2 linked regions of the Sus scrofa genome follow. The protein of the gene in region 2 purifies or fractionates together with the protein of the main gene of each other region. This does not show direct contact. Links are inferred from orthologs where the notes say so. Each region holds a gene or a part of one and is shown on either strand. Other genes may lie near its edges.

Region 1 (7,438 bases), on a different chromosome or scaffold from region 2:
TTCCCAAAAAACATTTTAAGACATGCACCTTCAATTTATAGATCAGGAAACCAGGACTGGTGGAATAAATAAAATACCATTTTACTTTATTATTAGGGCTGGGGAGGTGAATAAAATAACACATGAATGGTAGAACTGCTACTTTCACTTGGGTTTGTCTAAGAATCTGTTTTCTATTTGTGTTTATTCCTGGCTTGTCACATAATAATCTCTTATAAAAGTAAAATTATTTCTATTTGATTTATTTTTATGTTTTCTTTCTTTTTTAACTGATACCATATAGTTTTGTTAACTTTGGGGAAAATCTACAATCATTACATTTATACCCCAAATGTCCTTTGGTCTTCTTATCCACGTGATAATCACTCTTATTCGGTTCAATGGAAGAATAGAAGAGATAGAGAATTATGACTGGATGCATCGGGAAAAGTATTTCCTGGGCTATCATAACTGCACTAAATATCTTCTTTTCAGTTCAGTGCTCCCTTTTCTGACAAATATACTCAATTCTAGAAACTTCTTTGATCTTACTTCTCCATCAAATGATGGTTCTCATCCTTTTCTTCACCCTTTTTTAGGACTAGTCTATACTCACTGCCTCCACTTCCTCACCCCCCATTCACTCTCAATCCACTTTAAATTGCCTACTGTCTATACTAAGTCATTCAACTGTTATTATGGGGTTTTGTTTTGTTTTGTCTTTTTAGAGCCACACCCAAGGTATATGGAGGTTCCCAGGCTAGGGGTCGAATCAGAGCTGTAGCTGCCGGCCTATGCCACCACCACAACCACAGCAACACAGGATACAGCCATGTCTTTGACCTACACAACAGCTCATGGCAATGCCCAATCCTTAGCCCACTGAGCGAGGCCGGGGTGGAACCTTGTCTTCATGGATGCTATTCAGATTCATTTCCAGTGAGCACGACGGGAACTCCAACTATTATTACTTATTAAACTATCCTCTCAGAGATCATGAACGGCCTCCTACCTAACTGCATCACCAAAGACCTTTTCTTAATCTTCAATCTGCTTCTTAAAACTCTCTTCCTTTAACTAAGTAACATGGTAAGAGCCCAAAACTTTTGAGTATGACCTGGATTAGAATCCTAGTTTTGCCATTTACTTTTACATGACAAAGTCATCTCTCTTTTTTCCTCATTTTCCTCATAAAATGGAGCTAATATACCACAGGGCAGGGTTTCCCAACATCAGTATGATATTTGGGGCCAGATAATTCTTTGTTATTGGGGGCTGTCCTGTGCACTGTAGGATGTTTAGCAACATCCCACCAGGCTTCTACCCTTCTAGCAGCTCCCTCTACTTGTCAGAAGTACAAATGGCTAAAAGCATTGCCAAATGTCTCCTAGGGTCAAAACCAAAGCAGGTTGGGAACCACTGCCATGAGGTAACAATGAGAACTTAACCAGGATGATATGTCAAATGCTCATTACAATGCAGGCCCTCTACTCTCCTTTAGTATCCAGCACCCTTCAGTTCTCTGATTCTACCTCTCTCAACCCCCTTTCTCCTTCCTAAAAGAATTCTTCTCATCCCTACAATAGAGACTGGATCTAAGATTATAATCATAGGACTTCTCCCTTTATTACCTATACAGTTTCAACTGGTATTCATAGCTACTTCTGTGGTTTCAATTGCCTTTATTGTAACTGTCTATAAATCCAGGCCTCCTCAGGATTCTAGATCCACATTTCCAAGTTAGAAGAAGGAAGAGTTCCCATCTTGTGATACATGAGAAACAACTCCAGCTAGGAACCATGAGGTTGTGGGTTCAATCCCTGGCCTTGCTCAGTGGGTTAAGGATCCAGCATTGCTGTGAGCTGTAGTGAAGGTTGCAGACTCGGCTCATATCTTGTCTGAAATATGGCAATAATCTAAATGATCTCCCATTTTTGGACTCTCCAAATCCATCTTTCACACCACTGCTAATTTAATTCTTCTAGCACTTGGATGACACAAAAATATTCATGATATACTTTTTTGGTTTTTCTTGTTTTTGGCATGGCCAAAGGGGGGAAAAAAGCATATAACAACACAGCACATACTGTATAATACTAATTTTATAAAATTAAATATGTAAATTTGTAATACACACATGCCATCTCCTTCCATCTATTCACACATACACAAAAACATAAGGAGGGGTGTTCCCTGGTGGTGCAGTGGGTTAAGGATCCAGCACTGCCACAGCTTCAGCTGAGGTCTAGACTGGGGCTCAGATCTGATCCCTGGCCCGGGAGCTCCATGTGCTTCAGGACAGCTAAAAATGGGAAGAAAAAAAAAAAAAAATACATTCAAAAATGGTAAGGATAGTTATTTCTGGATAGTAGGATCATGGATAATTTATTTCTTATTTTGTAATTTTTCTTGTGTTTTCTACATTTTCTACATTAACGTGTATTATTTTACATAATAAGAAAAAAATCAGTAGTTCCTGCTGTGGTGCAGTGGAAACAAATCTGACTAATATTCATGAGGATATGGGTTCCATCCCTGCCTTGTTCAGCAGGTTGGGGACCCAGCATTGACATGGCTGTGGCTGTGGTGTAGGACCAACAGCTTTAACTCCAATTTGACCCCTAGCCTGGGAACTTCCATATGCCAAGGGTGCAGCCCTAAAAGGCAAACAAACAGACAAAAAAAAAAAAAAATCAACAGTATAACATGTATCATTCTATGACACCCTCACTGCTTATGTTAAAAAGTCCTAAATTCTTTGTCATGCAATGACTCAGCTTGTTTTAAGGACATCTTTCTGACTCATGATTTAGCAAAACAAATCAGTCACTGCACTCCATCTCAATCTATGCTTTCCCAGATCTCCCCTCCTTTCTTGATTCTCTATATTCTATTTCTACTGCCACCTGTTCCAATCTATCCAATCCTTCAGGCTCAGCTCAAATATCTCTAATATGATCATGGTACAAATAGAAAAAATAGGCCTGTCTAATTCACAAGTTCTGCATTTAAAAGCCCTGCTCTCCCAGTTACTGACTCTGAGTAAGTTAATTAAGTCTGAAACTCATCCTGACAATAATACAGCTACTTCAAATAGCAGTAATTAAATAACAGAAGATAAAACAAGTGCCTAGTTTGATGTGTTATTTGCTTCCATCTTGCCTATGTGGCTCAAATTTGCAGCAGTGACAATTATAATATTTTTTTTTACCCAGTGTTCTCTCTGGAACAAAAAGGTCAGAGAATATTAAGCAAGGAATGGCCTCAGAACTCAATTATCAAAATTCTTCAGTCTCTTTTGAGTTTCTTTTTCTCTACCATCACTTAACTATTGATTTCACTCTTATTCTACTTCTTTGTTCACTTTCTGTGCAAACTCTAGAGGATTTCCTCCACAACCATGGCTTTGTCCACTATCCATAAACTCATAATTCTCTAATCTGAAAGTAACAGTGAAAGGTAGAAATGTAATTCAAACACAGATCTGTCTGAACCCATTGCACTCCTTACACTCTTAGCCACCCCACTTTTCCACACTTCCCTTTACCACCCAATCCCCAATCTCAATCTCCTGCTTAGTTAGTTAGGGGTCCCTCCTCTAGCAGAAGGCCCAGTGAGGACACAGAGAACAGACCTGTGGTTGCCAAGGGGGAGAGGGGAGGGAGTGGGATAGACTGGCAGCTTGGGGTTAGTATATGCAAACTATTACATTTAGAATGGATATATGCAATCTCCTGGGATAGACCATGATGGAAAATAATATTTTTAAAAAGAATGTACCTATAGGTACCACTGAGTCACTTTGCTGTGCAGCAGAAACTGGTAAAACATTGTAAATCAACTATAATTTTAAAAAAGAAGAAAAAGCCCTGTGAAGAACACTGTAAAGCTTAATGTTTGGTTTCTTTTTGCAAATGAGTCTGTGAGCTAACCTGAAAACAAGGTTACAAGGCCGTATTTCATTTATGTTTCCCCATACCCAGCAGAATGTCTAACACACGGCAGACCCTCAAAAAGTATTAGGTTCCTTCTCCCTTGCCTTTTTCCCCCTAAGAGGAATTTTCTCTTCCCCCTTCCCCCAAATCCCATAGGGCTGTATATCTCTCTTCTACCTCATACTAGCATTTTCCCCTCCAGACTATGAACTCTGATTGCACGGGTCAATTTTTAAAATCTTTATGCAGATACCTCTGCTACAGTAACTGTTTAACAAATAACTGATAAATGAACCTATAACCAAAAAAGCTGTTGTTTTAACTACGTTTTCCTTTCTGTTACGCAGATTTCTTCCCACTCCAAGTAAACACTAGATCCACTATTAGTAAATCATGATTCCCAAGCAACAAAGGGCTTTCTGATTATTTTTCAATCGTTTCCGGATGCTAGGCACTGGGGAAATGTAAGCTCGGATTAGTAAAGGATTTCTGGTCTCTAAATAAATTCAGTGCAATAATGACTCCCGAATCAAAATAGTATGGAACACTAGACTATTCGCGTATGTGAGTCACGTGGCTCTGCGGAGTGACGACGGTTTTAAACGTGGTTTCAGGGTCACGTAACAGACTACACAATCAACCCGTTGACTAACTCCCTGGGATTCCTTATGAACTGGCCTTGCTCACCCACAGCCTGTTTGAGAGTGCGGAGGCAAAGTGGGGAAAGTGACCACCCTTCTTCCCTCAGACCTGTGCAACCTCCCAGACTCTGCTTCCCTAGAGCTTCCTCCCTCCCACCCCTCGGCTCACCCAACACCCCCAAGGGGGCGTGGCTTTCACCTACCAATCCGCCTATCTCTCCCCAAGGGCTCGGCTAGCTTCTACAAGGACCTTCCCCTCTCTGGGTGGCCACGCAAATGTGCGACTATAGTAAAGGCGTACACCAACCATAGGCTTCTCCCCTCTTCTCGCATCGACTCCGGACCCGGCCGGGTTGCCCTCCTTCGCATTCCCAGCTCCTCACCTGCTCGGCTGACACCGCCCCCTTCCCCGCGCCGCTCCCGCTGCTCTTGCCGGCGCGACTGCTGCTCTCCGCCATCTTCACCGCCTGCTGAGCTTCCGGCCTGCGCAGCTCGGCCCCCGCCTTGCGTCACGTCCGGTCTCGGAGTTACCGCCCACTCGCCCCCGGCGCCAGGCTCCTCTTCTTCCAGGCCCCTGTTCGGTTCGGATCCTGTTAATGGTTTTGGCCGTGCCTTCATGTAGGACCTGCTACCTAGCCCGCCCGCCGCGGTGAATTACACCTGTGGTGCTTTATCTTGTGCAACAGAGACGCTGCCCCTGAGAGAGTCTCCAGATGGGTTAACTGGAGAGCGGGGCGCGGGTTGGGATCTGGGTGCCAGTGCCCTCTGCCCACACAGCGGGTGGTGAGGCACGGGCGGCGGGGTGGGGTAGGGTGAACTTCTCAGAGATTCTGGTGGAAGGGGGAAAATATGCTTTGAGTCAGTAAAACTGTGCAGGTGCACAGTCAATAAGAGAGGCTGGGAAAATCAAGGAAATATCTCGAGGATGACTTTTGAACTGCGGAAACGTTTGGCTGAGAAAAAGGACTTCAGTTTAATGTGAGATCACTGGAAGTCGAGATATTCGAATGCTGCGCAGAGCCCTTTCCTCGATTTTCCCACTTTGTGCTCTCTTCCGGTAGCCGTGATTAACCATAGTTAACGAGTGTCTTAAAGACTTAGGGGTTTTTACCGGTGGTGCCCAGATTCAGCCTCACAGTATGAAGAGAGAAACCAAAGGATCTTAGAAATGTATTGCTTGATGGTGGGGTTGGTGTCCTGATTTCTCACCTTCTTCAGGCTGGGCTTCATCATCAGGCCTCCTCACCAGCTCCTGTCCCTTCTTTTGGGTCCTCGGCTCCGGATACTTCGACTCTCAATACTTTGTGCTCAGCCCAGGTAACATGTTTTGTTGTGTCCTCAGTGCCTGGCACATAGTAGATGCTCAATAAATGAATAGATGTTGGGAAACATTGGGGTGCCAGCCACTCACAGAACATTTGATCAGTGGGTCCTTATTGCATGGATCATTGTGCCTTGTAAGAGCAGGTTTAAAGGGAAGTCTAGCTTTCCTGCCTCCCCCTTTAAGCCCCTTATCATTAAACTCGGGCTTCCCCACTCTAGGAAATCTGAGTCTTGCCTGTGCCATTCACAGACCCAGATCCATGGCTATTTCCTCTTCCTCCTGGGACTTGCCCCTCGTGGCTGTGTGCCAGGTAACATCCACACCGGACAAGCAGCAGAACTTTAAAACATGTGCTGAGCTGGTTCGAGAGGCTGCCAGACTGGGCGCTTGCCTGGCTTTCCTGCCTGAGGCATTTGACTTCATTGGAAGGGACCCTGAAGAGACGCTACGCCTGTCTGAGCCACTGGGTGGGAAACTTTTGGGAGAATATACCCAGCTTGCCAGGTATCAGGGAAAGGGGGAGGGAGAGGTAGTTTCTTTTTGGGTAATATCGGAATTGCCAGATATGAGGGTAGAGACTTGAGAAGAGTTGTCAGTGTCCCCTCCCCCTCAGGGAATGTGGACTCTGGCTGTCCTTGGGTGGTTTCCATGAGCGTGGCCAAGACTGGGAGCAGACTCAGAAAATCTACAATTGTCATGTGATTCTGAACAACACGGGTGAGACCTCGTAACTCTTTAGCCTGCCTCTTCTCAGGCTCTTCTACCTAAGCTAAGATTCTCCAGAATTTTGTTTCTCAACTGTTCCCTTGGGCAAGGGTTTTAAGGGCATTTGTACCTCTGTTCCTAGCCTACAAGCTCTCTTCTCCTTGGGAGGAGAGGAACCAAGCTGGTCTTCTAGAGCACCAGCACTGAGTACTCTTACTTCTTCTTACTCTAGGGTCAGTAGTGGCCACTTACAGGAAGACGCATCTGTGTGATGTTGAGATTCCAGGGCAGGGGCCTATGTGTGAAAGCAACTCTACCATACCTGGGCCCAGTCTTGAGCCTCCGGTCAGCACACCAGCAGGCAAGGTGGGATTTGTGAAGGGGTGAGGGTGGGAGAGAAACAAGAGGGAGGGGAATAGGAATACTTTGAAGTAGTAATAGAGGATTGAGAGACAGGGAGTGGGGAAGAGGGGGGAATGACCAGATGCTGTGACAAACAGGGCAGGGGAGCTAAATAGGCTGTTCTTCATTCCAGATTGGTCTAGCTATCTGCTATGACATGCGGTTCCCTGAACTCTCTCTGGCATTGGTTCAGGCTGGAGCAGAAATACTTACCTACCCTTCAGCTTTTGGATCTGTTACAGGCCCAGCCCACTGGGAGGTAAGAGGACACCTCTTCAGAACATTAAGAGCTGCATCCAAAGCATATGGAGGTTCCCAGGCAAGGGGTCTTATCAGAGCTGTAGCCACCAGCCTACACCACAGCAACTCAGGATCCAAGTGACCTACACCACAGCTCATGCCAACGCCAGATCCTTAACCCACTGAGGGAGGCCAGGGATCCAACCTGCATC
Region 2 (7,601 bases):
GAGCTTCCTGGCTGGGCTCGGCTCCAGCCCTGGAGACCGTCCCTGTGGGTCCCGGAGGCCTGGGGACTGTCCCTAGGGGTCTTGGAGCTGGGTCTGCCCCTGGCAGCAAGGCACAGACGAGGGGCCTCAGGGCTCCTGGAGGTCGGGCAGGTCAGCCAGCAGCATCGGGGAGTCCATCTGGATCTCACGCTGTAGGGACTCGATGTCAGCGGGGTTCATGCCGTGGCCCTCGAGCCAGTCGGCAAGCAGGGAGGCCGAGAGCGAGGCCGAGTCTGCCTGGCTGCTGACACGGAGGGTGGGGAGGCAGAGGCGCCGTCAGCCTGTCCCACAGGCAGGGCCCCCGGCCCGGGGAGCCGCACCCCCTGCCCCAGCGGAGGCCCAGCACTTACCCGTCCTGGGGCCCATCAGCCACGCCCATGTCGAAAGACTGGTTGAGGAATTCCTCCAGGTCAAAGCCGACGCCATAGCCAGCCCCGCTGCCCTTTGGGGTGCCCGAGAACACGGGGGGCAAGGGGTCTTCCACCTGCAGGGGACGATGGCAACTTACAACGCAGGCACCGTCCAGAGCTGCCAGGTCTGCAGGGCGCCTGTCCCAGCACTGCCTGGACACCCGCTGAGCAGCTGGTGCCCCCAAAGACCCGAGTTCCTTCTGGGAGCAAGGGGACCCGTCAGGAGGGATGGTGCCCCGCCTGCCGCTCGGTTCGCACAGAACAAGGGCCTCCCAAACCCTCCCCCTAGGCTCAGATCCGCGTGCGCCCACAGCCAGGCCTCTCCCCTCACCTGTGACTTGGACAGTTGCTGGGTCACGAGGGTGACGTCGGGGGACTCTGAGGTGGAGGGTTGAGGGACGCCCCCGGGGTCTGGAGGGGGTGGGCCAGAGGGGAAATAAGGCAGAACGCTCAGGCCGCTGGGGCCGGGCAGCCCAGGGGGAGGCACCAGCGACGGCGGGGCCAGGAGGCCGGAGGAGGCAGCGGTTTGGAGTGGAGCAGGCCCAGGCCCAGGGCCCGGGGCCGGGCAGGCAGGCTGCGGCGGGGGCGCAGCGGGCTGGGCTGCGGGGCCAGAGGGTGGGCTGGGAGGCCGGGCTGGCAGCGGCCCTGGAGCGGGGGCCGGGGGCCGGGCCATGCGAGTCCAGCGCTCCAGCAGGCTGCGATCATTGTCGCTGAGCACCAGCCCGGCCAAGGGGTCGGCGGAGGGGCCCCCCGAGGCCCCGGCTCCCCGCTCCTTGCGCTCCCGCTCCTGCCGCCGCTTTTCCCGCTCCTTGGCTCGCTCCTGCCGCCGCCGCCGCTTCTCCTCCCGCTCGCGCTGGCGCTCCTGGGCTGTCACCGGCTTGCGAGGCTCAGGAGCTTCCAGGGGGGCGCTGGGGCCATCTGTGGGGAAGACGGGCAGGGTGACACTAAGAGCCCGTCCAGGCTGGGGGGGGTCCCCTCGGCCCCACTCCCCAGCCAGCCACCGCCTCTGCCACGCACCTCGGAGCCGGCTCTGCAAGGACTTGAGCAGGGCGGCCTTGAGGGCGGCCTTGGTGTTGTCCGAGATGGCACCCTCCCTCTTTGGAGGGGCTGGCTCACTGGCCGGCGGGGGTGGCTGCAGGGTCAGATCGATGGTGTCGGGCGCAGGGCCGGTGCACGGCAGTGGGGCCGGCGGAGGGGACTCCATGGCACAGTCCCCGCTGGGAGCCCAGGGACTGGGCATCTCAACGTCGGGGCAGCCGGGCTCACTGGCCACAGGCTGCAGGGAAGGCTGGAAGCGGATCTGCTGGCGGATGCCCTCTCGCCGCGCGTGGAAGTCCTCGATCTCGGCCACAATGGCCTCCTTGATGCGCTCCCGGGTGAGGGCTTCACGGTCAAAGGCAAAGTCAAAGGGCGGGGCACAGTCGGGCTCGTCATCCGGGTCGTGGTACTTGGCCAGGAAGGGGTGACGGAGGGCGGCAGCGGCTGAGATGCGGGCACTGGGCTCAAAACGCAGCATGTGGCCCAGAAGGGAGAGGGCCTGGCGGTCGGCCCCCGGGTACACGGTCTCCCAGGGCACGGGCTGGCGAGGCGGCAGGCTCTGGATGTAGGCCCGCACCCGCTCCGCCCCCACGGCCTGAATCACGGCCGGCGACGGGGTGCCCAGCACCATCATGATCAGCTGCAGCTGGTGCACGTAGTTTTTGCCCGGGAAGAGCTGGCGCCGGGCCAGCATCTCCCCAAAGATGCAGCCCACGGACCACAGGTCGATGGCCTGCGTGTACTCGTGCAGCGAGAGCATGAGCTCGGGGGCGCGGTACCAGCGCGTGGCCACGTACTCGGTCATGAAGTACTGGTGCTCCGCGGGCGAGGTGCACAGGCCGCGGGCCATGCCAAAGTCCCCGATCTTCAGCTCGCAGTTCTCATTCACCAGCAGGTTGGACGGCTTGAGGTCGCGGTGGATGACCTGAGCCGAGTGCATGTACTTGAGGCCCCGCAGCAGCTGGTACAGGAAGTAGCGCACGTGCTCCAGCGTCAGCGGCTGCGAGGAGTGGATGATCTGGTGCAGGTCGCTCTCCATCAGGTCCAGGACCACGTAGCTGAGGGCAGGGGAGAGGCGGGGGGCGGGGGGTCCTGGTGACGCTCCAGCCCCATCCTCACCCAGCTCTCCCAGCTCCAGACGGGTCGGGGCCTAACTCTCAGATGCTGTAGGCGCCACCCAGGTGGTGTGAAGATTCTAGATGTCCTACAACTTTCCATGAACTTAAGGGAAACTACTAGTGTCGCCACCAGAGAAAAGGTGGGCTTGGGCTAAACCCGCCTGGCCAATAGGTTTTGTCGGGGGAGGTCTGGTAGTGGCTCATGGAAGACGGTGATGGAGACGGGAGGGGCTTCCGTAGTCTGTGATTGATTAGTGATGTCTGCTAGGGGAGCAGCCATGGTAGACACGGAATGCGGGGCTTCCCTCTGCCAGCCCGCGCGTTGCCATCCTACGCAGCTACCTCACGCTCTTCCGGAGGAATCTCGGGTGGCCCCGGCAAAACCCCAAGGGAGCCCTGGTCTTGGGATGGTGGGAGGTTGCCCAGCCTGCCTTGCACAAGGTCCAGAACTTGAGCGCTATGGCCCCAGCCTTCCGAAAAGGTGCCCGCTCTGCCTCCCGCCGCCCCTCCTTACACAGACTTGAACTCGCCGTAGGGCACGGTGGGCCTCAGGATGTCCTTGATGGCGATGATGTTGTCGTGCTTGAAGTGCTTGAGGATCTTCAGCTCCCGGAGGGTCCGCTTGGCGTTGGTCACCACGTCAAAAGCGTTAGGGATCTTCTTGATGGCCACCTGCTGGCCTGGGGCGCAGGGAAAGCGGATGCCCTGAGGGACCTTGGCGGAGCTCGGAGTGGCGCGCGGCCCCTTTCACCCCCTCCCTTCTAAGACGCAGGGACAACAGCTTCCCTGCACCGAGCGCCTACTGTGTGCCCGGTCCTGGGCTCAGCACAGCACCTGCACCACCAGCTGCCCCTCCTCCTCTCCCCGGCAGGTGCTCAGAGCCCACGAAGACACGTGGAGCCGGGGCTCCCTGCGGGCGGCGCTGCCAGCCGGCGAGGGGTAGAGTCTAGACTCCAACGCCGTGCTAGCGCCCTGCTCGGCCCATCTCTGCCCCCAGCTATGGCACCGCCAACCGCCTGCGCCAGCCTCGGCTCCGGAACACGTTCCGGGAAATCTGCACCCTGGTCTCACCCGGACGCTCGACTTTCTGAGGAGGACGCGAACCGATGCGCTGGCACCCACCGCGCCGGGGCTGCAGAGACCTGGGCCCTGCACAAGCGGGCACCGGGCGCCTGGCCCCCAGTGTGCACACCCCGGCCCGCCCGCCGGCGCTCACCCGTGAGGCGGCGGCGCGCGGAAGACACCACCCCGTAGGCCCCGTTGCCGATGGTCTCGATGATCTCGTACTCGTCCCCCACGTCGAAGGTCACGTCGAAGGAGCGGGCCTTCAGCAGAGCCAGGTTCTTGGCCGCCACGGAGGCGGCGGGGCCGGCGGGTTCCGCCTTCACCGGCCCGGGGGGCTCCCCGGAGCCGTCCTCGCCGTCTTCCTCCTTCAGGGGCTCGGCCATGGCGTCTGCGCGGAAACGCTGGGGAAGAGGGGCCCGCCGCCGGGCTCAGGGGCCCCGCACCCGGCCGGCCCGAGCGAGCGATGCGCGCAGCCCGCGTCCCCCACCGCGCGCGCGGGCCCCGGGCTCAGGTCCGCGCGGGGCGCGGGGTCGGCGGTGGGGGAGGTGCCGCGAGGCGCGGTCCAGGAAGAAAGCGAGGGGCGGGGCGCCCGCTCTTCTCGGGCCGCGCTCGGCGCCCGGCGCCTCACCCCGACGCCGCCCGAGCCCTGGAGGTCGCGGGCCCCCGCCTCCTGGGGTCCCCGGCCTCCCGGCCCCCGGTCGGGGTGGGGGACCCGAAGACCCTCCCGCTCCCTAGACCGCCGCCTCCACCACCACCTCAGCGGCGCGCATTCTGCCGGGCCGGTCCCCGCCCCGCCCCCCGAGACCACGCCTCCGCAGGCTCTGGCCAATCCCTGGATGGCCTCGGCGGAGGCACCCACCCCTTCCACTGGCTGAGCCCAATCCGGGCCCCCCTGCCGAGGAAGCCCCGCCTCCACCAGCGCGCGCACCGCCGGCCAGTCCGCTGGCGGGAGCCGCCCAGCAGGCACTCGGCGCTCCACAGGGGCGCTGCGGCCTGGCGCCGGCCTCGCACGCATGCGCGCTGGCAGCCCCGGGCGCCGCGAGACTGGGAGGCACCGCCCCCCGCGCGCGCGCTCCCCACGGGCAGGGGCATCTGCGCCCAGCTGCCGCGGCTGGTCCCGGGAGCTTGGGGGGATGAGGTGGCCGGATGCCACCCTGGCGGCCGCATCGGGACGTCCTCCTCCTTTAGGCGCCTCTTCCCTTGTCAGCCCCTACCTACCACCCCTGGGGTTACGTCCTCCGTTTCCCCGATGGGTCCCGGGAACCCAACGCTGGGAATCTGTCATCCCAGGTAGCCGGTGGTCGGCCACATCCCACCAGAGATCCCGGTCCTCCGGTGGCTGGTCCTCTCCGCTCAGCTTCCGGCGGCCCGGGGCCTCGGCCTCGGGCGCGACCCCTCCGCAGGGTGGCTGGGTGCAGCGACTCCCGCGCCGAGGCTGCGGGGCAGCAGACAGGCCCGCAGGGTCAGCTGTGCCCGGAGAGGGCAGGGCGGGGCCCGAGCCGATGCGGCGCCCCAGGCCGCAGGGGACCCGATGGCTGGCTGTGTGACCGTCCCGTCTGATCCGGGAATAAAGCAGAAAGTATCAGAAGAGGTTGACAAACTGTGAATCGTTCAAGTGCTTCCTCTGCATGTTTTAGCTGGGATGGGTAGACAAGTTACAGGCATTCTCTGGCAACAACTCCGTTTCTCACTCACTTTTGAATGCGCCATGAGCTGCTTTACTTCCACCGTGACTCCGTCCTGGAAAAGCCATCAATCACCTTTTTTTTTTTTTCTTTTAGCCACGCCTGAGGCATGCGGAAGTTCCCAGGCCAGGGATCAAACCCAAGCTACATCAGTGACAACATTGGATCCTTAACCCGCTGAGACACCAGGGAACTCCAAAGTCATCAGTTAACCAACATTCTTCAGCCTTGCCTTATGAGCTCGCTGCATCTGACAACTGACTACTTTGAGAAAAAGTTGTTTCACATGGCTCAAAACTCAAACAATACTCAAGTGAAAAAAATCTTGGTCTCTCTCCCTCTTTTTTTTTTTTTTTTTTTTTTTTTTTGCTATCTCAGGGCCGCACCCGTGGCATATGGAGGTTCCCAGGCTAGGGGTCCAATGGGAGCTGTAGCCACCAGCTTACACCACAGTCACAGCAACGCAGGATCCGAGCCACCTCTGTGGCCTACACCATAGCTCAGGACAATGCCGGGTCCTTAACCCACTGAGTAAGACCAGGGATAGAACCTGCAACTTCATGGTTCCTAGTCAGATTCGTTAACCACTGCACCATGACGGGAACTCCATTAATATACATTCTTATCCACCTCCCCTTTACAAGAGATAACAAATCATTTACTCTTTTCCTGATGATCACTGAGTATCAAAGCTAGGGGGATCTCTCACTCTTTAACAGCTTTTTTGAGATACAATTTTCATACCATAAAACATATACTGCGTACAGTTCAGTATGTGGATTTAGTGTGTCCGCAGAGTTGTGCAACCATCACCACTGCCTGATTTCACAACATTTTTGTCACCCCACCCCCAAAAAACCCCATCAGTCACTCATTTCCCCTCACCCGGCCCCTGGAAGCCACTGATCTATTTCCTGTCTCTGGACTTGCCTATTCTGGATGCTTCCCATCAATGGAATCCTATGTTTGTGACCTTCTGTGCCTGACTTCTTTCACTCGGTATAACATTTTCAAGTTTCCTCCTTGTTGTGGCATGTGTCAACCTTTTTTTATTTTTCTTTTTCAGACATTTAGAGTCCTTCAAAACTTTTGCTATGGCAAACCAAGTGACGATAACATTATCCTGAACACCTCATTCTGAGTGTATAAAATACCCAGAGGTGGGAGTATGCCAAGTTAAAGAGTATTGCACTTGCGATTTTTTTTTTTTTTCTTTTTTGGCTGCACCCCGTGGCACATGGACATTCCTGGCCCAGGGAGCGAATCTGAGCCGCAGTGGTGGCAACGCCAGATCCCTTAACCGGCCACGCCACAGCGGGAAATCCACTCTTGTGATGTTCATGTGTGACGTCACATTCCTGTCCTTAGAAGTGACACCAGTTGGGATTCTTTCCCGAGCAGTGCGCAAGAATGAGCCACAGGAGGACCCGGCGTTGCTGTCGCTCTGGTTGTTGCTGTGGCTTGGGTTCCACCCCTGGCCCAGGAATGTCCCCACGCACAGGCAAGGCCAAAATATAAATAAATAAATAAATAAATAAATAAATAAAAAGCCTGAAATCGTTTGCCCGTGTTAACAAGGGGGAGACATCCCCTCAAAATCCTGATGTCTGGTTTCTTGTGGAAAAAGTCAGATCTGTCCACAAAAGCTGCATTTCCACAAGGTGTTAGTGGACGGTAACCGGGCAGCAGCCCCACCACTGAAAGGGGGGGGGCTCTCCGGCTCACCCCAGTCCCCATGGCTCCCCGACCGCCTCCCCAGCAAAGGCTGACGGTCCCACGGCATGTATCGCTGTTCATGGACCACTGTTCTTACATCTTATCAAGAGCAGGAAACAGGGAGGCTGGGAGGGCACGTCTCAAAAAAGGAGGAGAAGAGGAAGAAGAGGCCAAGGGCAGCCCTCGGGGGCACAACGACCACCCGTTTACAGACCCGGGCTCAGCCCTCCGGGCCGCATGCACGTCCAGGGTCGCCCGCAGAGGGCGCGGGGGGAGCACAGGGCACATCCGAGGACAGAAAGACCTGCGTGGAAGCGGCCGGCAGAGGGTCACATAAGGTGACGGGCCGAGAGGGAGGGCAGAGGCCCTGTCCTCGGGCTGCAAGCGGGACGGTGGGACCTTCCTGGCTCTAAGAAATGACAGCCAGGAAAGCCCCAGGCCCTGGCCTGGCCCTTCAGAGGCGCTGGTCCAGCCATGGTCACTCCCGTGGCCGCCCCACCCCAGACCCAGGGGCATCGGAGCCGTGTCTC

What was found.
Region 1: the proteins of MAPK7 (region 2) and PFDN2 purify together in Homo sapiens (affinity purification with mass spectrometry; 3 studies listed by BioGRID and IntAct, with this or other methods). This does not show direct contact. The link is inferred for Sus scrofa from reciprocal best matches to the Homo sapiens genes MAPK7 and PFDN2.

What each region holds. Positions count from the first base shown.
Region 1 is NC_010446.5:89,324,415-89,331,852, reverse strand, and holds the start of PFDN2 (prefoldin subunit 2), read right to left. Parts: upstream 5,073-7,438; 5' UTR 5,014-5,072; coding exon 4,939-5,013; exon of another isoform or gene 4,796-4,938; intron 1-4,795. Other genes in the region: NIT1 (nitrilase homolog 1), read left to right, coding at 5,152-5,204, 5,774-5,872, 6,129-6,383, 6,493-6,596, 6,817-6,950, 7,120-7,245. UniProt on the Homo sapiens protein: Binds specifically to cytosolic chaperonin (c-CPN) and transfers target proteins to it. Binds to nascent polypeptide chain and promotes folding in an environment in which there are many competing pathways for nonnative proteins.
Region 2 is NC_010454.4:60,144,316-60,151,916, forward strand, and holds the start of MAPK7 (mitogen-activated protein kinase 7), read right to left. Parts: upstream 4,429-7,601; 5' UTR 4,054-4,428; coding exon 3,822-4,053; intron 3,286-3,821; coding exon 3,120-3,285; intron 2,546-3,119; coding exon 1,467-2,545; intron 1,368-1,466; coding exon 781-1,367; intron 524-780; coding exon 390-523; intron 284-389; coding exon 127-283; 3' UTR 1-126. UniProt on the Homo sapiens protein: Plays a role in various cellular processes such as proliferation, differentiation and cell survival. The upstream activator of MAPK7 is the MAPK kinase MAP2K5.